Drosophila melanogaster: one gene and its partners. The gene in region 3 interacts genetically with the main gene of each other region. Each region holds a gene or a part of one and is shown on either strand. Other genes may lie near its edges.

Region 1 (5,658 bases), on a different chromosome or scaffold from region 3:
GACGATCACTGAGCCAGTTCCTCTCAAAGGGCAACTCACGCCATTGGAAGGAGGTGTTGGAGGAGTTTACAGGCGAAACGGAAATGGACCCAGCCGCTCTGCTGGAGTACTTTGAACCGCTCTACCAGTGGCTTAAGCAGGAAAATAGCCGCTTGGGTGTGCCATTGGGCTGGGGACCAACAGACAGTGAGTAATTGAATTTAAACAGTAACTGCTAACTATAATTTACTGTATCCCTTTGCAGAAATCCCATCTGATTGCTGTGGAACGTTTAGCACCTAGACTGAGCCATCCCAAACTTGACTTGAGGTTATTAGAACCCGAAAACAAATATATTGGTTTAGTCTGTCATTAGGAACAAACAAAATAAACTTGATAAGAACGATAATTAATTCACAGCATATGCGCATTGATATTTAAATTGATATTTATTGTATCGATTCATTCGTATCGTTTCGTTTCGTTTTATTAATAAATTGCCATTACATAATACACTTTTTAACGATATCTCACCCACCAACTTTCGTCATAAACAAAATTGTATAAATTATAGCCTTTCGTGAATTGTGTTTCTATCTCAACCACAAAGTTGTATATGTTTCGGTCAGTGTAAATTTTCGATATCTTGCTTGCCTTTTTGTACACAGCAAAAGCGCTCAAAAGTTCATCTCAAATTTATTTGATGCTTCTAACCGTATGCTACTTTGAATAACTCGAATAAAATATGATCTTTAATGGAAGCTGTTGTTGTATACAACACAAAAAGTATAGAATACAATACACTATAAAAAATTATAGGTTACCAAACAGTTCTAAAGGTCTTGCTAAAACGGAAATCAAGTCATGACTTCTAAAATTTTCTGACCATCGAAAATGATAAGCTATTGCTTTCAAGAAAATGTATTTGTTAACTGGTTAACCTTACATTAAATCCTTATAGGTCATATTCCAGCCGAGATATTCAAAGCTTGATCAGTGATTACATTTTGCGACTTGTGCTGCAGTATATTTATGATTTCTGCTTGTATATCGATGCTTTTGTGATCTGGTTGGTATCAAATTTCCGCACATTTTGATTTGTAGTCTCTGTTGGAGGAGTGTGTATATGATAACGAAATAAAGAACAGTCAAATATGATCGTGTGGATTTTAATTCCAATCGTTTAACTTCATAGGGTGATTTAATTTTAGTAGATTATAAGGAATTTGTTTTGAGAAATAAAACAATCTAAGAACTAACAATAAATATTGGAAATTGTATCATTTTTGATTAGGTAATATATGTAAATCTGTTTTCATTTCGCAATCTCCCGCTTTATGCTTGTGATATGGGAGATACCGATGGTATCTACTGCATTTTCATCAATGTAACTGTTACTTGGTAAAAATTGTATATGTATTTAGAATATAAATATTATATGCAATGCGTTCCACATTTACAAGGCAGTTATCCATGATTGCGGAGTAAGATTTTTGAACAAATTGGAAAAATATACAACCGAAACTAGTTTAAAATGGTTTTCTGCTTCGCGGAACATGCAACTGACTTATAGATCTGAAACGCACTGCACAACTGCTCGGGGGATTTGCTCCAATACTTGAGCTTTACATATATATGCCTAGTTTTTTTTGTTGTTGTATTTTTAATGATAGGATTATTGGACTAACAGTAAGATCAGCTAGATTTTGCTTTTGAGATGCAGATACATGTTCGTAATATATAATTTTCCAATCGATACGCCATTACGAAACTAAGTCTTAACAGGGCTATAAAATCAATCCAGATATTCATATGTATAGGCCAAGAGTTTAGTTTTGGTTAGTGCTACATGAGTTGGAACAATTTGATTTAGTTTTTGTTGTTGGATAGTATGCATTCTAACAAAACATTTCAGAGTCAACGCAAATAATATAACTAGATCTATGAATTCGATGCGGAATTTCAAGCATTTTAGATTTATGTTTATACAATTTGAGTAATACATAGATGCATATAAGGATCTTATCCTTTACTACTTAGCGATTATTATTGAATACAAATTTTTTGTGTTTATTATTTAATATTAAACGTGAAAAGTGGTACGCTTACATTCAAAGACATTTTCATCGTTTTGCAAAAAACATTTATAAACCGTTCATATGTTTCGAGATTCAATATCAAGAACGAGGGACCATGGCAAGCTTTATGAGTTGATAGTTGAGTTGATAGAGTGAGTGTTGTGTGTGTGGGATCTTTCTGCACTTGAATTTGAATTGACTCTTGAAGAAATGTCGTCTAATTGACCCTTTCCGAAGTGTTGGCAGCGGCTGCTATGTAAATCTGCTTATGTTCTTGAACTTGGCTTAGTCCAAGAACGGGTTTTGTCATACAGGTCGCGAATGGTGGGTATGTTGGGGATGTTGGTGTGAATGTGGATGCGGCTGGGTGACACTGCTGATGCTGTGGTTACTGCTGCTGGTGCTCGCTCCGCCTCCACCACCGCCGCCCGCCTTTTGCCTTGTGGGTGGCGGCGGTGGCGGTGCCTGTCTCATGCGCTGCTGCAGGATGCGCGGCAACTGTGGATGCGCCTTGTGCTGAGCTGGTGGTGCGGGTGGTGGCGCTGGCCTCTGATGGTAGTGGTTAGCCGATTGCGACTGTTGCTGTTGTTGCTGCTGCACTTGTTGGTGCTTCCCCATCGAGGAGGCAGCGGATGAGGAGCCAGAGGCTCCTGATGTGGAGCTAGTTGAGGCGTGGGAAGTGGTCGAGCCAGTGGCCAGTTTTGTGGGCAGTCCTCCGCTGGCTGCCGGCGAGGCCATGGCCCTGGAATTCACAACTCCCGCACTCCCAGCTCCGGCAGTATCTGTCATCTTAGGCAAGGCTACTGGCGCATAGGAGCCATCGTCCTCTTCGTCGGAGCTCAAGGAATTCGCATCCGATGGAGTACGGGACCTCGAGGGCGGCGACAGTGCGTCCTGCTCTTGCAGGAACACACGGAATCCCTGTATCGACTCGTTTAGCGCCCACAGCTGGGACAGCAGCGACAGATCCAACTGCCTCAGACCGTACATCTCCCGTCGCAGAATGGCCAACTGGTTGTCGATGGTCGACGAGGTGGCTCCAGTGCTGCTCGAGCTGTTAGTGGGTGTGTGAACAGCCCCAGCGCTGTGGGTGCTGGAAGCGCGACTGTGCACAGATTCCCGATCACTGAGCGACTCCTGCGTGGACGAAAGACTACCGTGCCGCTGGCTGTGTCCGTGTCCATTGTAGCTACGATTTCGTGATGCCGCCGACGAGGAGGTGGAGGGGCCCAGGTATAGTTCTCCGGCGGCTACGGTCAGTGCGTTAACACTGGACGCCGGCGAGGCTGTGCGGGGATGGGGGCCAATGGCCACAGGAGCCGCCGTAGCGGCGCTCAGACTTTTTGGCAGTGGCGGCAGACCCGTCAAGTGCGGCTGGGCATCGTTGCTGCTGTTCTCCATCATTTGATAAAGCTTACTATGTCTCTACGGTTTCTTCTTACTGCTGATCCTGATCCTCACGGGTATTTAGTAACTAGAACTATAACGCGGGCTTCTTAATGCACGTTGAACTTCCAGCTCTGGCGGCACATGGGGCACTGTTTGTTCAACGGTTGCAGGTTCAGCCACTTGACGATGCAGTGCATGTGGAAGCAATGAGAGCATACACCCCACACCAGCGGGCAGTCGTCACCGGGCAGAGCGCACTCCGGGCAGGTGCTCTCGAAGGACATGCGACAGATACCGCAGTTCTCGTCATTCGCTATCCAACGCCAAGTTGCAACTCCCGTCCATGACTTGATTGTCACTTTCATTTTGCGCACATTTGTCTCACACGGCAATTGTCTGGTTTGTCGCCGCTTTGCGTTGCACGGAATACGGCTCCTTTGGCCAATGAAGCGGGTGTTTTTCGACCGTTTCCGAATGTTTTTTGCAAAATATTGCCTTTTTTCTTTAGTTAGGCTGCTGAAAATAGGTCGATAGGTCCGATTATCGATTGGCCGATTGGACTTAGAGATGGACGCTGTGTAGATGGAGTTAAGCCGTCGGACAAGCAGTGCGACTTGGGATGACCTGTTATAGTAAACGATATATTTTTATTTATTGTATATTAGTATAGTATTGATTATTGAATATTGTAACAAAGTACATTTGATGTGTTCTTAGTGATATTTATTGATCATAGACATGGGCATTTGTAAGCAGTTCATAGAGCTATCGATTTTATATATACATCTACCGTACTTTAAAAAGATATCGATCCTTGGCGGGAGTATTCAACTTTGGTTTGTTTATAAGAAATCATAGATAAAGTACTATTTGAAACAATCAGGTGAATTAAAAACCTTTCTGCTATAGTTAAAATAAGTCATTCCTTGTCGGATAAGTAATAGTTGAACAGTAGTATTTTCAATATCAAGGCCACGTTCTCGAAGCCGCTGGGCCATCAATTACAATTTTCGGCAATGACAGGTCGGAACCCAGGTCAGATCTTTAATCAGCAATGCGAGCGAATCGTGTCTGAAACAACTTCCGAAAGCTTATGCTCATGCTCCATCGGATTGGACGAGGCTTTAGGGGGGTGCTGCCTTGTGTTGTTTTGTTGTCGGGGGCTGATGGAGTTGTTGTCTCCGGTTTATTCGCATTCAGTTAGCCGACGATTGTTGAACCCGACAGACGTGCGCGCAGCTCGATCGATCGATCGTCGAGCTTTACCCGTTTTTCCCACTGTGTTTTTTCGACAATTTCGCGTGCAAAGCGTGATCATTATTGCTCAAAAATTGCTTTTGTGTTTTGTCCAAGTGTGACGCAGTTTTTAGCAAAGGTTCTGTGGAACTGCGAACGAGATCAGCATATAATAAAAAAAACCCTTGTGAGTGAAAAGAAAGTGCCTGCGAAACGGAGTTGATTTAGAGTTGTGTACTAATCGAAAGGTGCCGCTGCGAAGTGAACGATCTTGTGAGAGTGAAATTAAATCAAAACACAAAAAGTGAAGTTCAACAGCAGAGCGTTGTTTAAGAACCTGTAATTGAAAACGCACTTGAATACACACACCCATACAGGCAAGAATAATATTAAAAATAAGCCCAATAATGCGCCATACAACACGTTGTTGACCCTGAGCCAGAGCCTCGTGATTTTCCAAGAACAAGTAAACACCCCTCACAACCCACCTATACAAAAAAAAAAACCACTCGATGATAGCAATTATTTAGCATAAGAATTTATGTTGCAGTTTATTGAACTCTTTGTGCCGCCTGTTTCTGGAAAAAACCGTTTGCGCCTTGCAGGGAGATTCTGCTACTTGACTTGGTGTTCCGGTTTTTGGTCACGCCCGGGATTTTCTCGAATTCTGCGAATCACTTACATACAGTGTACCAATAAGGCATCCATAAAAAACATGATGTGTTTGTTTGTGAACATCAGTTTTCATTGCAATTGCAATGCGAAATTTCAAATCGATATTTGCGATTTATTTCACTTTGAATTGGCTTGCCTTGTCATGTGCCTCGTCCATAAAATGTGGCTAATAAACAAACAATTATGAAATGACGGATTTTTTAAACTCTTTAGCGCCTTAGATACGAGTCCAAATAAACAATTTGCAACCAGACAACACTTTGAAGCTGTGAATTTGGTTATGACTCATCGAATTATGGCT
Region 2 (7,911 bases), on a different chromosome or scaffold from region 3:
ATAACTAAAACTACATAATGTTACATGGAAACACTAAACTAATATACAATTTGGCCATGACAGCGGCTCAAAACACTTAAAACTTATAAAACAAATTCACGTTCGATTTAGTATTAATATCCGGCTGCTGGTGCTCATCCTCTTTCTGCTTGCAATTGTAAGCCTCACAGAGCTGATCGAAGTCGTCCTTGCTCATCTCAACGGATTCCATCATAGCCACCTTCTTGTAACTGTTAAGAAATACATTTGGTCAACACGGGCTCATTCTTCGGCTATCTAGTGTTTGCGACTTACGTGTCTCTATTGTACTTTTCCCGCATGGCCTGCGTGTTGAGCTCCTTTGCCGTTTTGTGGGTGTGACACAGATGCAACACAACCGTTTTTAGGTCCTCCAGCTTGTAAGTCGTGATCTCCTCCAGCCTTGGCGTCCACATCTCCATGCCCAAAATGTGACGCGCCAGTGCGACTGAAGCGGATGACATAAGTGATGGCAAATATTGCAAGTACGTTTCTCCCTCCATGAGCGACAACTCGGAAATATACTGTGTCAGGTAAACATTAAGTTAAGTTTCGGCTTTGTTTCTTTTTTCTTTTGTATTGGCAATAGCTTACCAGCGTCATGTACTTCAGCTTCTCAGGCATGTCGCAAAGTACAGCATAGGTGTTGATGAAGACGTAAGCAGTCGGTGTGCACAGATCGAAGGAGAGAATCTTCAAGATAACCTGCTCCATGCGTAGCACCTGCGCCTTGGTGTAACTGTCGTCGGTGAGGAAGACAAACTCACCGACCTCTGGGGGATAGATTTCCTCGTATTTTCTGAAAAATAAAAAAATAAACCCCATGAATACACACACCATTATTACCGGACTATCAAGAATACTTACGCGGCAATATACATAGCTGCCGTGCCCACCAGCTGTAACTTGGAGCGCACCACCGCCATTTGGCTCAAAAATCGATCTAGATAAAAGACCGAGAGATAGAGCGTCTCCGTGTCCAGTTTGTACTCCTCGGAAACCTCAACCAGCCAATCAATAAGGATGGAGCGCATATTGTGGCTAATGTCCTTCTGTCTGCGCATATAGAGTGGCTTGGGGCGATGTTTCTTCTGGAAGATGCAAACACATGCAAACAAATGATTAGAAACCGATTAGATTACCCGGCCTAACAAAAATTACTAAGCCAAACTTTTAATACTTTAGGTTAGGATTCGCATATATATAGCTTATGCCTTTTCTACACTCTAATCTGGCAACCAACTACCCGTTCCCAGTTTCATCTTAAGAAGGTGTCAAAAATGTACAAATTTCACGGGAGAAAAAGCCGTACAGTCATCAAATCAAGCGTATAAATACCATAGGAGAAGTGGCAAACAACAGCTGGGGGAGGGAGTTAACCGATTTTTATTTATTTATTGGTTATTTCGTAGTACGTGAGTCGCATCGAAATTCCCAGTTCGAACTTAAATTTCTTTGCCAAACACCTACATATATGTACATATATATGGGCAATATGTACATTAGGTGATTATTTTATGGTCGCTTTAACGATTATTGGAACCGTCAAGCGACTCGAGCTGCAAAAATTAAAGAATTCGATTGACATGAATATATGTACATACATCAGCATTTGTTTTATATTAAGGCAGTTAACTCCCATGAAATTATTATAGATATATGTAAATAGTCTGTAACTAGTAGGTTACAGAGGTAGTAGTAGAGGCAAACAATAAACAAAGCACCCAGCAACCGGGCAAACAAAGTCAACTCAGGCATATATCCACATCCTACTAACAAGAAGAGACAGACATATCGACCTCGAATACAGTTGAACATCTTTTATAACTAACTCCGGCACAATGACGCTCAAAATCGGTATATGCACCAAGCAGGATCTCGACGAGGCGATGAAGCTGCAGAAGCGGGAGCAGTACGAAGATGAGCGGAAGCGGCGCATTTTTAATGCCAAACAGCGTCTTTACGGGGTAAGTATGCATCTGCAGACTGGGTGAGCTTCATTGCCGAATATTCCTATTCACAGCTCGACCTAGAAATGCTGGATCGCCAAATACTTGAGAAAAAGAAGCAGCGAACCGCCCAGATGGAGTGCGACAAGAAATTTGAAGAACAGGAGCAGCTGCAGAAGCGTCTGATCCTGGCCCAGGAAATGGAGTTGGAGAAAAAACAGCGTGTGGTGGACTCGGATCTTAACTATTATCGCTGCCGCTATCAGCGCAAGGAGCAGCGCCGCGAATTCGACCTAAATGATCCGAATTTCTTGAAGAAGGCACGTCCAACAAGAGTCGCCGACAATGACATTTCGCTGGGCGTGTCCAGTGCCCAGATCTTTCAAGGCGAGGACCTCTATAACTCTGACAGAAAGCAGCGGCAGCGGGAGCAGCAAAGAGCCTGGCTGGATCAGCAAGTGCAGGAGCGTAAGAGGGCGGAGGATGCTCGCAAGCAGGCCGATAATGTGTTGATGGACAACGTTGGTTGCAGAGACAAGCATCTGCAGGAGATGGCCAAGTCTGATCACCAGATGCGCAACCAAGTCATCCAGCGAGTGCGTCAGTTCAATATCAACATGGCCAAGCAGAAGCAATTGGACCGCGAAAGGGAAAAGCGTGAAAAGTACGAGGATGACATGGCCGAGATCTATAACATGCTCTCCAGCGATATGCTAACTGAAAATCCGGATGTGGCTCAATCGCGCACCGATCCGAACAAGAAGATTGCCTTCATGTATCGCGGCATGACGCCCGAAGAACTTCGCGTGTTTCGTCTTGGACAAGATCAGCAGCTTCGTTTGTCTATTCAGCGCAAGACGGAGGCCCAGATGATGGACAAACAGTGGGAGCAATACTCCATTAATATGGACCGCACCCTGGTCCTTCACCAAATCGAGGATGATCGCCGACGTAAGGCGGAATTCGATGAGCTGATGCGGGCGAATTCCAAGTTGGCCGTGGAGCAGGATCGCCAGCGCAAGGAAGCCCTTGTGGGCCTAACCAATGCCGTCTCCGATGACTTTTACGATCAGTTCAACAAGAACTCACGTTAGTGGGATTGTATTGAAGTTCCCAACCAAGACGATTCGAGAATAATGAGCTGGATGCGATTAGAAAGCTGCCTCACTTTCTTGTGCAGCAACTTTCCATAGGCGTCCAGAACATTGTACTATTTTAAAAATACAATCTTTGTTGGGAATCTTCACGACGAAATTATAATGTTCATGTTGGAAACAAAGCATTTCAAATATTTAAAAATTTAAAAAAAAAAAAAGACAAAAACCCATCTCTAGTAAAAACTGAAATATCAAGGGAAAATAAAGAATACGCCCATTCTGGACAAAACCTAATCCTTGTGTTGTTGTTTTGTATTATTTAATGTTGTTTTCGAGTTTTGTAATTTAACTATCGATTTTAAAATATTTTTAAATTTTTTTTATTTGTTTTGGTTTTCTAGTTTTTTAAATTCTTTATCAATTTTAAAACTTTTTTGGTTTTAATTTTTTTTTTAGTTTTTAAACTTATTTTAATTTTTAATCTTTTATTTACTAACGTAGGAAACAAACTACAATAGTAGTCAACCTCCCTCTGCAAGTCGAATTCCATTGGTACCCCGAGTGTTCTACGACTTTGGACGAATGAGAAAAAGAGAGTCAACAACAACGACAAAGGATGAGACGGACGCAGACAGACAAGCGTTTCGCTTCCCGCCCAACAAACATGTGCCCGCGAGCGGGAATAAGTGTACCCATGAACCCATAAAGAGGCAGCGTTGCGTGAAGGGAATGCCAACGGAGGGTGCGACAGGGTCCGACTTCCCCTAAGAAATTACGTCTGCCTGCGTCTGCACAGAAAAGTACAATGCACATGGCCAAGTAAGTAGTAACACATTGAAAACGCAAGATACCTTGGGAAAAAATTCCAAATTTATGCCAGAAAACATGACTGCAATACCCTGGAAGATAATCAAGGAAAACTCGACCTGATAAAAGTTGTCCACTTCAGTTACTAGTTAAAAAATATCATTGTCTTTGACAATGATTACGCGATGAAAGCGAGTTTGTGAGTTTGAAATATTTTTGTGAGGAAGTCATCTAATAATATCATATTGAAGCCTATGTTTATGTCCCTGGTTTAGCTTACCTCGCTCTCCCGGAAATATTCCAGAATGTCCATCTGGTACTGAACCACTTCCAGGAACCGCTGGCGATCGTTGCGCGGCGGAAGCTCCTTGACTCTTCCAGTTGGCGAGACTCCCGTTTCAGTGCCCACGCTGATATCACTGGACTGTATGACACCGAGAATGGAGCGGTCCACGGACATGGGGGACTGAACATCCGTCACGGACATGGGTGTTGAATCCAGATCGTAGTCTACCAGCTCCTTCTGCCCAGCACCGCTGAATGGAGTGAAAAAAAAAACAAACAAAAGTTTGTTTGCGGCTTACCAAGTGACAGATGGAAACTTACAATTTCACGTCATGGTTCTCTTTGTCGACTAGGGAGGCCAGGGATTTGCCGGATGGCGCAACCTGGGTATCGTTGTTGTCCTCATACACGGAGAAGGTCTTGAATTGCTCCACCACGGGCACCACATTCGATTTCTTGGCGCCGTACTCCACATTCTCATCAACATTAAGATTTCTGACGTCACGGAAGACCTGCTGGAAGGAACAGAAGACGAAGAAGACAAATTCAACAATATGGTCAACTTACTATATTAGGTAATAATTTTATATTAGGTAATATTGCAGTGGGATTATAAAAGTAAAAACACAAAGATAATTCCTTTTACATATGCATCCTTAATATAGTAAGCAAAAAAGAAATAAAATGATTATCCCCCCCCATAAATCGATCCAACTTTAAGTTGCGCGCCTTTCCCTGGCTTCCCGTATTGCTCGTGTGTGTGTGTATGTGTGCACCTATACGCATGTGTGCGTTGCATGTCGCAATTGCTTTTGCCCTCCTTGCTTCGCTTTGTTGTTGCAAATCATCAAAAAGGCGCGTAATTGCAAGGCCTGTGTCTTTTTCTAGGTTAGTTAAGGTTCTAGGTTAGGCGCAAGTAAGTGCATTGGTCGTTCTAAGAAGAGAGTAACGTAAGATGGAGAAGTGAAAAGGATGGGATGGTAGGGGAGAGGTAAGGGAGAGAAAACCACCACCACCACTAGGAGATCTCACACATGCGCACGGTCGCAGTGGTGTGACGATCCCACCACCATAAAAATATAAAAAGGCAGCTGCATTGGAATTAGGCACTGGATGTACGGGAAATCGGCAACGGTACTTACAACTTTCCCGGCCGGACGCGGCACATTGTTGTTGCCATTGAGCACGGCGAAATTGGCCCGCGGCGCAAGCGCATTTTTCTCCGCTTTTCCCCCAATTACGGCCAGCGGCTGCTTGGTGTTCTTCACTCCGGCCGGAATCTTAATGCCCGGATTCTCCTTGTTGCTCATGTCTTGGTGGATCTGGAAACTGGCCATGGTGCGCTCTTTCCTACTCCTTTTTTCGCCTTGTAAAATGGAGTCCGATTATGCTCTGCTCTTCCCTTCCTTCTCTCTTTCTCTTAGCGTCGTTGCCTTCTTGCTGTTGTTGTTACTGCTGCTGCCGTTGTTGTTGTTTTGTGCTGCTTTCTTATGCTCGACGCTCACACCGATACGCACACATTCACAGGCTCATATGCTCAACGAAGACGCAGACATGTGTACATTAGGCGCAGGCAAATTTTATCATCGACAAATTGACGCTTGAATTACACGCACACACACAGTTTTGTACAGAATTCATTTGACTTTCAATTTCGTACGGAAGTTTGTGTCACGGCAGCGTTGGAATTAGTTTCCTTGTTTGGCTACGCTCGCACGGACTTAGCTAATATTAAGTATTTTACAAACTCCGTACTTGTTCAGCGGTTCGTGGTTTAAAAGCAATTGCTGGCTTCTTTTGATTTTTTCCCGGTCAACACGTCGTAAATGTTAGAGATGACACTGTCCAGCTATCGATAGGTCGTGGCGTCTATCGACATTTGCCGACAGTGTGGCCATATATGTCAGAAGTTTGTTTTTTAGGACTGGCAACTCCAGCAGTGCGCAAAATTTAAAAATGTGTATAACGTTAATTTTTATTTTTGCCGAAGTCCATTGTTTTTGCATAGTTTTTAAAAATGAGTGCATATTTATTTAGTTCTAAGCTTTAGAGATCAAACCAATAATACATATTAAAGGTTTATAAAAAGGGTTTGGAATAAGTTCTTCATGGGTTTGTAAGCATTGTTTTGAAGTTAATCGAATATATATGTATTATATCCATATATATAATCCATATATTATGTCCACGGTAATCGCTTAAGTTGTTATTACTGTTGCTTTGATTAAGATTAAGAATTCACTGCAAAGCGAACTTGACAAAAATCAATTAAACAACTGTTTATCAAAATATAATTAAATAGAAAGCGTAATGTTTTTGATGAAATGTTTAAATAATCGACGTATTAGGACACTTGGAAAAATGTTTAGGTTACAATTAAAAAAAATGGCTAGGCTTTTGGACTTTCGGTCTCGAGTGGCTCCAAAAATCGTTTCTGTCCCAGAAATAAATCGAAACAGGAAAAAAAACTTTTCCCCTTTTCGAAAGTCCTTTCAAACAAAGTGGCCGCTCGAAGTTTTGAACAAATTATGAACTGCATGCAACAGAAAGTACACAATTAACAACAACCACCGCGTTAAATTTAAGAGCAGCAACTCTCTAATTAACTTTTTAAAGAGCTTTATTTCGGCTACTGCGATTATTATTATTTGGCTGTCAGTGGAAAACCCAAAAAAAGTTAAGCGAAACTTTTTCTTTTCAATACGCCTAACGATGCTACCCATTTATAAAAAATATGTTAGTGTAAATACAAAAGTATATATATTTATCAATTCGGATGACTTTCACGATTAGAAAGATATAACGAAATACGCCATACGTCTTCCCTATGAATTTCTAATGGGAGGGGCTGTGAGATATTTATAGAAAATACAAATATAACATTCATTATAATAAATAATAGGTGAATTTGTTAACAGTTATGGTAATTGTTTTGATTTCTAATCTTCTTAAAAAATATGTATCCTGATTTCTTAACCCTTTTAAGTTTAAGAATATAACAACATAACGTGGTGGCTTAAATATTTGTCATAACTATTAAATATGTATTGTTTTTGACTTAATTCAGCATTGTACATACATGTATGTATGTATGACTCTTGCCACGATTATTTTGTGAACGGAAGAGTATGTTTTCTAGAGCAGCTGCGCCTCCCTAAGAAAATAAAGAAAAGGTGTATCGGATTTTGCATTGTTTTGCACGAGACATTTCGCAACTGCCGGCCTAAAAACTAAATCAGTTAGGAACCCAAAGAAGTACGAACACAATGAGCTAACCAACATTCTGATCCTGCACACAAATGCTGACCTTTGCGATCTCGATGTCCTGGAGACCAGGTAGCAGGACAACCGACTAGCAGTTACACAATTGTATAATATCGTTGGCCCCAGCAGCTCTGGAAATATACATAAAATACCTTACAGGGTCAAATAATAATTACCAATATAGTAAGGCAATATTTGGCGAAAGTCAAACGTTTTTTTATTAACTAACAAAAAATGCTGTTCGTTTGTAATTAATCTAATTCATTAGTATCTTTGTTCATCAATATGGGACTCTTTAAATAGCCGTTAATGAACTGAATGTTCCTCTTGCCCTTCGGAACCGGAAGATTAAGGCTCCAATCAACAGATGATTCGTGCAAATAGATTTTAATTTTTCTGTGACTGTACAAACTTAAAGCTTTTAACACAAATTCAAAGGTGATTTCCCTGGCAAACCGGACACTAAGTACGTTTAAAAGAGCACATTCTTC
Region 3 (7,636 bases):
GCATCACCTGGTGCCGCTTCATCAGCTCCGGGGGACTCAAATCCGTGCCTTTGGTGTCCAGGCAGCGACTGAGGAACTGCTTCACCATACGTTCGCTGGCAAACTGCTGCAGGTCGTTCATATCGATCTGCCAACAGATGCTCTGTTCCATCGTCAATGTTTGGGCCAGCATGCTCTTCAGCCTGTCCGGGTCCTCCAAGTGGGAAAGGCAGCCCGTTCGCTTCTTAATATCAATCGGTGCACTCATCTCCAGCGCCTTTTCCAGCTGATCCCAGTTGCGCGATCGCTCGAAGCACACTGGCCAATAGTTCTCGTCGTCCACCACCACCTGCTGCAGGGTGCTCAGCACTGGCAGGATGCAGGGAGCGATGGGCAGGCGGCGCAGCTCGGTGGCACCCACCTCCAACACGGATATGTTGGCCAGGCACAGCTTATTGGTGTCAATGTCCCGGGGAAGGAACAGGCGCGGTTCCACAGCCAGTACATAGAGATGTCTCAGCGCTTGCAGATGGTATCTTAAAATGTAAATCCATGCGGTGAAGTGTGCTAACACATTGCTGCAAATATATTAATCCTTACCGATTGTCGTTGCTGTGTATGGGAAACTTGGGGAAGAAGGCGCAGACCAGTGCAGCAATCGACTCCGGTGTCTGGGAAATGGTGAAGCGACCCGCGCCGAGGAATAGCAGGCCAAGCGACATGTGTATGGCCATGTGAGAGCCGTAGGTTATGTGCGGATATTGTGGTCCCACTCGCGACCTGAGAAACCGAATTATGCGAAGAATTTCGCAGTTGCCGGAGCCGGCGAACACCAACGAGATCGAGATGAGCAGCACCATCAGGCAGCTCTCCACAGTGGTGCGACCGGCACATTCGCCCATCGGCCTGCTGGGGAAGCGAAGGAAATCCTTTATCACCGACCGCAGCGTGGCAAAGGCCACCAGATTCTCAGTGCCGGCGTACTTGAGACCAATGCAGAAGGCAGCTCCAGCCATGATATTGCAATAGGCTTGCCTGGACAAGAGTATATAATTCGTATCTAATTACTTTGACATTCAACTTCAGTTACTCACGAGATGGCCTCGTAGTCCACGTCATAGTCCTCGGGTGCATACTCATTTTCGTAGAACGGGAGTTTTAGGTGAGCTCGGAGTGCTCGCGGAAACTGTGCCTGGAACCACGCGTTGTCCGGCCGGACATCCTGCCATAGGATGAGGCCCCGGGAAATTGTGCGCAGCAGAAGGAAGTCAGGCCGCACCATGTCCAGTAGATACCGCGAATCCGGCGGCTGCATCCATTCGGCAATAGCTGCGTTCCCCGAGTTGAAGAACATAAGTCCCAATGCGAGCGTTGCACCCGGAGCAGTGACATCTATGTTGACGGTATCGCCTTCACGAACTTGGAACGAGGCTAGTCGGTATTTCTCCTTCTGGGAACCGCCGATGGGTCTCTTCACTCCACCGACCATGTAGTAGTGCAGGGTATCCGGCAGTTGGAGGTCCCTTAGGCCCGCCGGCGATTCACCCTGACCGAGGGTAACCAATCCGAGGGATAGACCTGCTGTCATGGCATACGATTCGCGCTCAATGCTGTTCTCCATCTCAGGGCCTGGAGGACGGCCAATCTCCTGGAGCAGCACCTCGGCTATGTGGCGCTTAGCTGATCCTTGATAGAGCAAACCGACGCCCATTATAGCAGCCACCTGTGTGCTTTGCGGTATATCCAACTCCATGGCGGTGGCTGGCAGCAGTGCCTCCAAGTGAACGCTCAACAACTTTGTGGTTTTCGTATCCATGGTGCCGCGATGGGCAGCGGAAATGCCCAGCAGCAGACCAACGTTGGTCATCTCATCGCATTTAACCAAATACTTATAGACACTCATGAAGGACAGCGTCTTTAGGTGACCATTCAAGCCCAGGGCCATGAGGAAACCAGCGTGCTCCAGGGCATTATGCGAATGCGTTTTGGGCTTGTTGTAGACAATCCAATTGGAGTCTATGTCCTGAGCCTGGGGTGAGATCTTCAGGCCAGTGGCCACGCCATTGTGAAACGATGGCCACATTTGCATATTCGCTGGGAATTCGATCTGCTGCATTTCGATGGTGGTGCCCTTCAGCGGCTCCTTGCCCAACAGGCACAATTTGGGCATGGTCAAGCTTTCGCTGGGCCGCGGCAACATCGTTCTCAGGGTGAACATACCTCTGCCCACGGGCAGTGTCATTGTGCGCGAACATAGTGCAAACAGTTGCTTCTCCTGCTCCTCAATGAATTCGTGATCGCTGGTTCCCGGTGCCTGTTGCACTTCAATGACCACCGGTTCCGAGCTGTTAAGCAGACGGCGCACTTCATCCACCCGCATGTCATCGGGAAAACGCAGACGCAGTAGTTTTGTGTCCATGTTGTCCATGTCGTCGCGGCGCAATTGGGCCGGTGAATCAGTTTCTGATCCCCCGGTCGGCGGACACCTCGCTGACAGTGAATCTTCCTTGTAGACCCGGCCACAATGCGGTTGCCCAGTGCTCGTTTCGAGGAACGGCAGTTGAGCGTGGGCCGCCAATTCTGGACGCAGGATAAGTTCATAGGTGGCCATGCTGCAGCCCATGGGCGGCGAGAGGCGAGCCTCCTCCAGTGCCTCCGCTACAATCAGATGCACTGCCGCCGGGAATCTTTCAATGTCTCGCCGTGTCAAGCGCATGGCCAGAAGTAGCTGTAACATCTGATGGCTACGCGGAGCATCCGCCGTGATATTACGCTTAGAGCGCCGCGTAAAGTTGGCCTGAACGGCGCCGGGGATCTCAAGCAGCTGCCACCAGTAATTCAGACGCTCATGCCCATGAGTCACCAGCGATACGAGCTGCAGTAAAATGCGACTTCTCTCGTTAACGCACTCCAAGAAGGTGTAAGGCATCACCTCCTCCTCGCCGACAATAATGTGCTCGAGTTGGGCAAACACACTGGGTGCCGGAACCCTCAGAAGCTCCTGGTGCAGCATCATAGCTCCGTGCTCAGCTCCCAGCAACGAGAGCTTGCCCGTACGATTCGAGAGTTCCGGAAAGTCTAGTATGTAGTGCAGCACATAACTTTCCAGCTGCATATCGATGGCCAGCTGGTGTAGGAACTGGAACGAGGAGATGGTGTTAGAAAACCACTAATGGATCTATTAAATGATTCACCTACCGTTGCCAGATATGGAAGCGCTCCATAAAAGTCAGCGTCCAGTTTGAGATCCTCGTACAGTAAATGCAGGCTGAAGAAGATGGCGGGAATCATTCGGAAGAGCAGCGCACCGATGTTCACGCTGTAGCTGTGGCCATCGGCTCCGCAGGGAGCCAGTGTCGTCTGGAGCAGCAGGAACTCCCAGTCGTCGTCCGTGAAATCATCGCAATCATTGTATATTCGCCGTTTCTTCGGCTCATCCTGGCCACCCAGTGTAGAATTGGAACTGCAACTAGAACCGTCACTCGATTCCGTCGCAGTAGCGCCGCCTCCAAATTGAGTGTGCAGCGGTGGCGTGGCACATCTAGCGTAGTTCTCGCCCGCATCCACATCCGGTGCAGCAGTCAGACCCATTAGGGCGAGCAGTGTGGAGCGGAATAGCAGCCATTCCTGCTCTATGGAGTAATTCCTCGATCCCGGCGGATTCCTGTCGCTATACCAACGGATAACAAAGTCCAGGAACTGGGTCGGACTTAGAACCTGCCGTAGCGTAGCCACACATCTGGTGAGCAATCGTGTATCATTTAGAAATGGCAGCGCTATTCTGAGCATTCTGCCCGTGGCATAAACCAAAGTCAATCGATTTCCCGCCGGATCTCTCAGGGATTTGCAGACATTGTGCGCCTGCCGCTGTGTGTAGGACACCGGCTGCGGTTGGATGGGCGACAGCATGTGCAGCTCCTCTTCGAAGGCAGCCACATCCCCCGGCGCTTTTGTGGGCAGTAGGCTGCTCCTTCGCACCTCCACGAAAGAACTGCTGCCGGACGGAATGCCGCTTGCTGGTCCAGCAGCTGCCATTGGTGTTTTAACGTGAGACGGAGCGGGCGAAGCCGACGGAGATGGGGCAGCAGTCATGGGCGTTACCAGCGGTGTGGGAATGGAGGTAGGCGCCAAAAACGGCGTAATGTGCACCTTGGATATGAGCACGGTGCCTGTGTATAGAAGTAAGCTGCCACTCGGATCGAGAACGGCAATCATGTGCATTCTCTTCAGACCCACTGCATCTTTCGCGGCCAGCGTGGAGGCGTGCGTGGAGAGCTGCACCTCGCCCCTTCCATAGCCAGTGAGGCGGACCAACTGAAGGCGGCACGAGCGGGCCAGCAGGTAGCACAAAAAGGTCTGACCCACTAAATCCGTGTGGATAAATGCTCGGGTGGCCATCTCGCAGAACTCTCGTTGACTAAGGAAGACAGACAATTTTAGTACTGAAAGTGGCATCTTTGGTGGCATTTACTGACGTTCCGTAGATGTTCTCCGTCCAGATGTGCTCCATACACAATTCCGGCTCAATGGGTTTTGCCGGCTTCACGTGCGTTAACTTGCGCATATCCTTCACGGACATGGACTGCTGGCTAATACTGCTCTGCAGTTGGCTCAATGGAGTGCCTAGGGAGGCGCGACTAAACGGAAGAAGAGGCAATAATAAGTAAGTGATGGATGACAGCGACTTAAACGTACTTCGACTGTCCAAGAACTCCGCTGAACGACTGCGACTGGCTGAGTCCGAACTGGTTGCCCATGCCGGTGGTGGTGGTGTTGATATTCCTGGCCGCAAACGATAAGTTCGTTGCTTTTGGCGTGGCTAGCAATGGATAGACAGTGAATAAATCGTATGCCCTTGCTGGCATTGCTATCAACTCACCTCCAGTTTGCTTGGTGGAACTGAAACTATTGCCTGCCATCGACCTGGGTCCCATTAGCGTCTGTCCCAGCTCCATCTGCTGACTCACATAGTTGATCTCTTCGGGCGTTACCTTACGCAGGCGTGCAACGAAATGCTTAAAGAACTTGGCATCGTACAGCATCACCAAATCCGATTCCTCGGTGGTGAAGACCACAGTGTATTCCGGTTCGGTCATGTAGCCGGTGGAGCCGGTGGCCGTCTTCAGGACGACGGGACAGGCCTCGTGCAGCGGATGCGACATAGAGAAGAGACGCGGCATCGGAATGGACATGTGCGATATCAAGGCATTGCTGGAGTCCTTTTCCAGCAGCAGGCCATACTTGGTTTGCCACAGCTGTGACACGGGAAAGTCCAGATTGGCTAGAAAGTCCTCGCCGTTGCTGCAGTACACCCGCAGGGCGTCCTGATCCATCACACAGATGGCGGTCAAATGGTCGTCATCCGGGTGGACAGCCGCCTTCAGCTGCGCCAGTCGCCCGCGCACAAAACTGCGATTCAGGAAGCAGGCGAAGCGCACCGGCGTATCGGTGGTGAAACACATGCGCCGGTACACCCCATTGTCGGTATCGTCGTCATCGTTGACGCCTTGTGTCCACACCACCGTGTTCCGGTTCACATAGAGCTCCTCCTCGTTGTTAACCATATAGTCGCACATTGGCTCCACGCGCCGCACCAGCGGTGGATTGAGCAGTCTGTTCGGCAGCGAGGTGGCCTGGAGACCACATCGCTTTGTCCGCTCGGTCAACTTGCGTCGCAGGGCGGCGCGCTCCTCGGATGCCTCGTAGTCATCGTACAGCTCTCGGACTGTCCACGACTCCTGTCCGCCCGAAGGGCAGTCCTCACCGGCCGACGAGATGTTCACATTCTGGAGGCGCTGCAGCAGCAGATGCTCCGTGGTGGGCAGTTGGTGGCGCGCCATTGGCTGGTCATGTGGGCCCGGATGCTCCGCGGACGTCTGACGGCCGCGCGGCACAAACTCCAGCGGCGGTTCTGCGACGGCGATCATGTCCGCGTCGCCAGGTGCATCCAGAATTGCGATTGACAAGTTAATTGATTACAATTTATTATTAGCAAGGAATTTGCACAATTATTTAAAAACTGTCATCGAAATCGGGTGGCGATAAGTGCCTGATTCTATCGGGCCTGCAGTACTTCGATATGAGGAGAGCTATCAAAAGGCCGATAACGATAGGAAGACCAGAATCGCGACAAACAAAACAATTACCAGTATATGCCATAAAGTCATACCGAAAGAAATGCTAGAGAAATGGCTTTGCCTATTTTTAAAAATATAAAATATAACAGTTCGATTGCTTTTACTATCGATTACAATGCCGGTTGGTCACTTGTAGCAACCAGCTTTGGTCCGCTGGCGTACCGGTTATTTTCCCGGTCTGGCAGCACAGTGCGTTTGTTCGGCTTTTCCAATTGGATTTCGGAGTCTGGATTTTGATTTGAGCAGACAAACGGAACCGGAAATCCTGGCCAGAATTTGGCAATGAGCAGCGGCACCGCCGGCTGCAAGCGCGCGCACAGCATCGAGGTTGAGCAGCCGCTGACGTCGGAGCGCCTGGAGCACAGCCTGCTGTTGGTCAAGGGACGCCTGGTGCCCAAGTGTTCCACGGCGCGTCAACTGAAGGCGATCCTCGATCTGCCCGAGCACCTGTCCCAGGAGCAGCTCACCCAGCTGTCGGCCGGCGGCGAGTTTAAGCTCCTATTCGACTTGGAACAAGCGAATCGCGAGGAGGAGGAGGAGGAGAGCGCCTGCCTCCTGGAGTTGCGATCCTGCACGGCCACCCGAACGATTAGCTTCAGTTACCGGCCCCGCCGCAGCTCCTACCGGGTGCAGCCGCTCTACCTGCTCTGTCAGGACGAGGAGAAGACGCTGGCGCAGCAGCACGAGGTGCACTCCCTCATCGATCTTAATTTGCGGCTGGTGCAGTCCATCTACGCGCACAAACTGCACGCGGCGGGCTTTCCCAACCGCACCTTCACGCTCAACGGCAAGTGCTGCGCCTTCCGCAGCCAGTTGACCCGGAAACAGGCGCTGGCGAAGAGCGAGGACGAGCTGTGGCAGCATTTCGCCGGCGAGATTATCGCCTGTCCGCAGTGGGGCCACCAGTTGCTCCTCAAGTTCGTCGCCTTTGTGGGCTGCACGCGCTACGACGGCGACGCAGTGGTGGCCAGCGGTGACTCCTCGTACGCCAACATCCGGCGGCATCTCAAGGGACACGCAGCACTCGGTGGCGGCGGCTTGGCGCTCTTTGGTAGTGCCCACTTCTACGCGTGGCCCACGAGCTTCGCGGAGATCGGCGACTGTGTGCGCAGCGCCCAGCGGGTGGACATCGCCCGCCTGCCGGACGAGAGCAACTATCGGCGGACGTACGGCGGCGTCTATGCCAGCACCTTGGGCGCCGTGTGCCACGAACTGGGCCACTGCTTCGATCTGGGCCACACCAGCGAGGGTGTGATGGGCCAGGGCTTCGACTACTTGAATCGCGTGTTGACCGTGGACCAGCCCACGGAGCATTTGCCGCAGCGAATTGTGGACGCCCGCAGGGGCTCACTTGCCAATACTAATTCATCCGAGGGCGGATCATCCTCATCCAGCTCCACCTCCTCCTCCTCCTCGTCCGCCGGCAGTGGCGCCGCAACGGGCAACCGCGCCCGCCTCACCAAACTGAAATTGCAGCCAAGCAGCCAACTGCTGGACAACTACCACAACCAGCGACGCCA
Region 4 (4,550 bases), on a different chromosome or scaffold from region 3:
GCACAAGTCGCAGCAGAAGCAGGTGCTTCTTGGACCCGGCAGTGCGATGGGTCCTGGAGGGCCGTCGCCCAGCTTACCCTTGATTCGTTAACCATGAGAGACCCCCTACCACATACGCATATTAGCTCTACGATAACCGGCATCGGAAATCCGGAAATTGCCACACGTTAGCTTAAGTTTGTCGATACCAATCAATCCCAGTCGAAATCGAGCGGTGCAGGACGTCCAGCGATTCCCCCCAATAAAGCAGCCACCCATTAAATGCCACTTCACAGCGCAGCATTTACGCATCCACACTCTATGAACATCCGGCCCCCAAAAAAAGGACGTCCTCATCAATCGAAACGAGCCGTTGCAAAACTTCAGATAGGTGTTAGCATTGCAGTTGGCGTACAGTGTATAAACAAGCAACCACTGCGGTTTAAACCAATTAATAAAACTACGTTTATTAATAGTCAAAATAATTCAGCTGTGTGCTTGTGAATTGAAAAACTTTAGGTAAGATTGAGATTCCTTAGGTTGTAAGAACAAGTTTATTTAGAATTTAACAACAGACGGAAACTAAGGACTACCCAGATATTCCCTTGGAATGGGGTGATCCGTAAAGTAGCGTCGGAACTCTCCAGCGTACTTATTCCTTAAATTCCGATCGCCAAATTCGTTAAATCGCTGTGCCAAGAACACGTACACATCCAAAACCTTCGCATGTGCGGAGAGTTTCTTGAATGATTGAGCTGCACGCTGGAGGATTACTTGCGATTTAAGCAGCTGCGCTTTCCGTTTCTCCGCATCATTCTGATTGACGGCCAACAGGCAGCGAACGAACACGAAATCCGTTTTTGCTCGTTCATATAGACCGCCGTTGATGTGAATGTCGTGCATGCAGCGCTTTATTGCCTGATAGGCCTTCTGCGGCATACCGAGTAGCAATAGTTGCAGGGCCAAGAGCAGATCCACCAGAGCTAACTCATAATCCATCTGGGCCTCGGACATTTCCTCGGACACACGGAGCAGAAGCATTGTTGTTTCACTTGAAAATCGACCGTTCGCCATGCCACAATAACCAAGCAACACTTGAACCCTCATCCTAAGGAGGAATGGTATGTTATCCTGCACGGCCAACTTGTCCAGGAGGCGCCTGGCATTGAAAAACTCGCGCTTGGCCACATATATGGAGGCACGTTGGAATAAGGAGTCAGAGGGATCGATCAAATATAGCTGATCGCAAGCCTTCAGAGCATCGTGCCAGCGACACTGGTAGATTCCCGCCTGAATGACCACATGACACTGGCTTATCATCCAACCCTCGGCGCTGGGCAAACGCGGAAAGCGCTGTTTAGCATGATGTAGGAGTACTTTGGATAGTTGTGGCTCTCCTTGCAACTGAAGCCACAGGGCGAAACTGGCCAAAGCGCTTCCCAAACCCGCAGATCCACTGCCGAACCTGTCTCTGCCTGTCAATAGGACTTGGGAGTACAAAGCAGCTAGCTCATGCCTTCCATAAGCAGACCAAACAGCACTCCTCAAGGCAAGGGCCTCTGATGCGTGGTCGGCGAAGTTGTTGCGATTAGTGAGATTGTCGCTGTGCTGCAGGAGATCAAAGAGTCTTAGTGGTTGGTAGCCAGCCACCGTTCCTAGTTTTACAGCGAAGTGTAGGGCTAAGGTGTAGTTCTGCAGCAGGGAACCATCCACTTCGTTGGCATCCTGCACACTCTTTTGAACAGCGGACAAGGGAAGCTCATCCCTGAGCAAGCAGTACCAAGTGTTGGCAAGGTTGAGGCTCCTTTTGTCGCCGTGCTCCTGGGCCAGCATAATGCTTTCCCTGAGCGCTGCTAGCGCTTCATCCCGATGACCAAAGGTGGCATGTAGTACCGCCAGATTGACGCAAAAATACTGGTAGCCCTTCTCCTGGCTCATCAGGCGCACGGGACTCCTGTCCAATGCTCTGTGGAGGGCAGAAAGAGCATTGTAGTAATCCCTAACTCTCAATTGATTCATATAGCCCAGGAAATAGGGTGTAGTTGTTAGTGGGAGGTCGTGTATGATCTCCTGCACCTTCTTCTGGAGTTCCAAAGGAGGCAAAGCCTTACGCTCGTTATTCTCCAACAGTTCCGACTGTTTGTTGATGAAAAACTTGGCCTGTTTTGGTGCCCATTTGCTCAGGGGATTACGTTCTTGGGCAATACGAGCTACGGCCTCCACTTTCTTCTTAGGTTTAGGATCCTCAGGCTTTTCTGTTATGGGATTCGGAGGAGGGGTCTCCTCCCTATGCAGAATACCTCCGGCTACGGCCATTCTTGAACCAGAGGCAGCAGCTCGAACTCCTCTCTCGTAATAGGAGCATACGTTCTTGTACATATCCATCATCTCAGGGAAACTGAGGCGCTCTAGCACCACGCCCACTCTGCGCACATAAACGCCCACCATGCTGAACTGGCTAATGCCGTAGTTTTCGTTTAGGATCTCGTCGATGTTCTGGATCTCCGAGAAGTCAAACAAAGCCTCAATGCTGCCCGCACAAAACTCGGACATGGCTTTTTCGAAGGATTCCAGCATCAGAGTATCCAGTTTGTATTTCCCCGTGGTCAACAAACTATGTAGCTCATTGTAACTCTTGTCCTGCTCCTGAATGAGCTTGAATACCAGCATATAGAACATGCGCCGTCGCTGGGTGCGCATGGATATCCCAGTATCCAAACAGTTTTTTTTGTTCTTTAAAAATTGATAAATGTTAGAAGTTGGTTTTCACGGAGTAAATAAGTGGGTGCACCTACAATCACATACTGTTTGAGCAATATCAACACGGTAATCTTGTGCGCCGTGGGCGTCTCGATGCGGGGAGGCTCTAGTTTGAAGGAGGGGTCCAAGGTGTCCAGCTCCTCGAACAGATTCATGGTTAATTTAGGGCCTCTAAATCCAATTTTCGATTTGCCGGCAAAATGTAAACACAAAATCATCAGCCGCAGCCAACTTAGCTTCGCTGGAGATGCCAAACGGTACGGAGTTCAGCAGTGTGGCAGCTCCAGATGGCGCGTTGTTTCAAAATGTTTGTTCAATAAAAATGCATTATTGGTTTACTAAAGCTATAAAAAAGGTGTTTCATTCTGAAATAAAAGTGTTAAAAATAAATGACCCAAGGTGGCCACTTATTTTTAGCAAGGTAAGCACCTGGCACACCTTTGAAAGCCCCAAATAAACTATTACTGATTACACGCGCTTCGTCGAACTTCCCATACGATCGATCAAAGTCCAAAAAGCGACGAAAACACGCCAAATGTACGCTTCTCCAATTTGTATTTGCTTTAAATCAACGAAAGCACAAAGTTCACTAGACAACTACCCTGTTAAACGCTAGCCAAATGTGTAAATGTATAATGTGGAATAGGTAATACAGCGAATGCGTCATGGGGATACCCACATCCAACCTACAGGACGAAGGGGAAGATGGAGCGGCGCTGGCGAGGGTAGTCCTTAAACTCCTTCTTGTAGTTGCGATGCTTGGCCAAGGCCCAAATGGTCATCTGGAAGGCTCCGGCAAAGGCGAACAGATAGGCAGCCAGGCAAGAAGTCAGCACAGAGAATGAAACCCAGGCACCGATCTCATAGGTGTAGTTGGGGCAAGAAACCAAGCTGCAGTTCGAAGAGCGCGAATTAATAAACTTGAGCTGTGGGTTTTTTTAGTGACCACTTACTCGAACAGCTTGGTGAGGGGATTTCCATCGGCCACCGGAATCTTGCGCACTTTTGTTCCCGGCGGACGCAGGTTGCGCAGGGCAATGTGCACCGAAAAGTTTCCTAGTTCGCAGAGCTGAAAGTGAAAAGTGTGCGGCTTAGTTTGTGGGTCTGCAAATATGATTAATGGATCCCAAATATATAGCACATATAACATTACAAATTGCTTGACCAATTTTAACAAAAAGCTACACCTTTGGTATTAAGAAACAAATGTTTCGAACAAAAGCAAAGGAAACCGGTAGATTACGAAAACATATAACCCAGATCCATAAACCATGGCCGCGGATACATACAGCGAATGCCCCAAGAGCTCCCCAAACGGTGCACATGCAGGGCGAGGTGAACTGCGGATGGTTCACGTGGTAGGACACATAGGCGGTGAATCCCCAGTAGTATGTGCAGTTCTTGAAGAGATTCCTCAGCGGCATGGTGGCGTGCGAGAAGCGGTGCACGAAAATCGTCTCCAGCAGACGCTTCACATAGTGGACCGTATAGCAGCCGGCGGCAATGCTGGGGCAAAAGAGAAAAGAAAGCGGGTTACTGGGTGAACCACCATCCAAAGTTCGGGGATAATTATGCAGAGCCGTTGCGTTTTAGTTTGCATAAGCGACGAGGTCGATTAGGTCGACAATCGAAAGACTTCAGAGACTACTTTCTACAAACTCACTGGGTGGTTAGGGAAATCGGCAGACTGGCAGCTTTGCCGTACACCAACTCCGGTCGGAAGTAGAAAATCAAGTATACAATCAGTGGGCCGGCGTACTCGGCCAGGAAAACGGTCTTCCAGCCAATCTGGGGACCCAGATCCTTCACAT

What was found.
Region 1: of shtd (region 3) and lmgA, changing one suppresses a phenotype caused by changing the other (phenotypic suppression), as found in Drosophila melanogaster (one study listed by BioGRID).
Region 2: of shtd (region 3) and CycA, changing one suppresses a phenotype caused by changing the other (phenotypic suppression), as found in Drosophila melanogaster (one study listed by BioGRID).
Region 4: of shtd (region 3) and ida, changing one suppresses a phenotype caused by changing the other (phenotypic suppression), as found in Drosophila melanogaster (one study listed by BioGRID).

The regions. Positions count from the first base shown.
Region 1 is NT_033779.5:8,524,499-8,530,156, forward strand, and holds lmgA (lemming A), read right to left. Parts: upstream 4,008-5,658; 5' UTR 3,812-4,007; coding exon 3,554-3,811; 3' UTR 3,462-3,553; coding exon of another isoform or gene 2,364-3,461; 3' UTR 501-2,363; downstream 1-500. Other genes in the region: Acer (Angiotensin-converting enzyme-related), read left to right, coding at 1-186, 245-282; lmgB (lemming B), read right to left, coding at 2,364-3,461.
Region 2 is NT_037436.4:11,827,576-11,835,486, forward strand, and holds the start of CycA (cyclin A), read right to left. Parts: upstream 6,004-7,911; 5' UTR 5,494-6,003; coding exon 5,299-5,493; intron 4,672-5,298; coding exon 4,478-4,671; intron 4,408-4,477; coding exon 4,152-4,407; intron 3,270-4,151; exon of another isoform or gene 3,062-3,269; coding exon of another isoform or gene 2,042-3,061; intron 1,986-2,041; coding exon of another isoform or gene 1,860-1,985; exon of another isoform or gene 1,674-1,859; intron 1,615-1,673; exon of another isoform or gene 1,455-1,614; intron 1,110-1,454; coding exon 886-1,109; intron 818-885; coding exon 613-817; intron 543-612; coding exon 295-542; intron 231-294; coding exon 77-230; 3' UTR 1-76. Other genes in the region: CG7264 (uncharacterized protein), read left to right, coding at 1,860-1,985, 2,042-3,061; CG43064 (uncharacterized protein), read right to left, coding at 7,672-7,911. UniProt on the Drosophila melanogaster protein: Essential for the control of the cell cycle at the G2/M (mitosis) transition. Interacts with the Cdk1 and Cdk2 protein kinases to form MPF. G2/M cyclins accumulate steadily during G2 and are abruptly destroyed at mitosis.
Region 3 is NC_004354.4:15,456,430-15,464,065, forward strand, and holds the start of shtd (shattered), read right to left. Parts: upstream 6,013-7,636; 5' UTR 5,907-6,012; coding exon 4,859-5,906; intron 4,799-4,858; coding exon 4,675-4,798; intron 4,617-4,674; coding exon 4,455-4,616; intron 4,397-4,454; coding exon 3,178-4,396; intron 3,119-3,177; coding exon 1,074-3,118; intron 1,015-1,073; coding exon 580-1,014; intron 516-579; coding exon 1-515. Other genes in the region: CG6294 (uncharacterized protein), read left to right, coding at 6,399-7,636.
Region 4 is NT_037436.4:3,903,764-3,908,313, reverse strand, and holds ida (imaginal discs arrested), read right to left. Parts: upstream 2,971-4,550; 5' UTR 2,958-2,970; coding exon 2,775-2,957; intron 2,713-2,774; coding exon 562-2,712; 3' UTR 501-561; downstream 1-500. Other genes in the region: mge (maggie), read left to right, coding at 1-91; Sc2, read right to left, coding at 3,426-3,630, 3,693-3,808, 4,029-4,245, 4,403-4,550.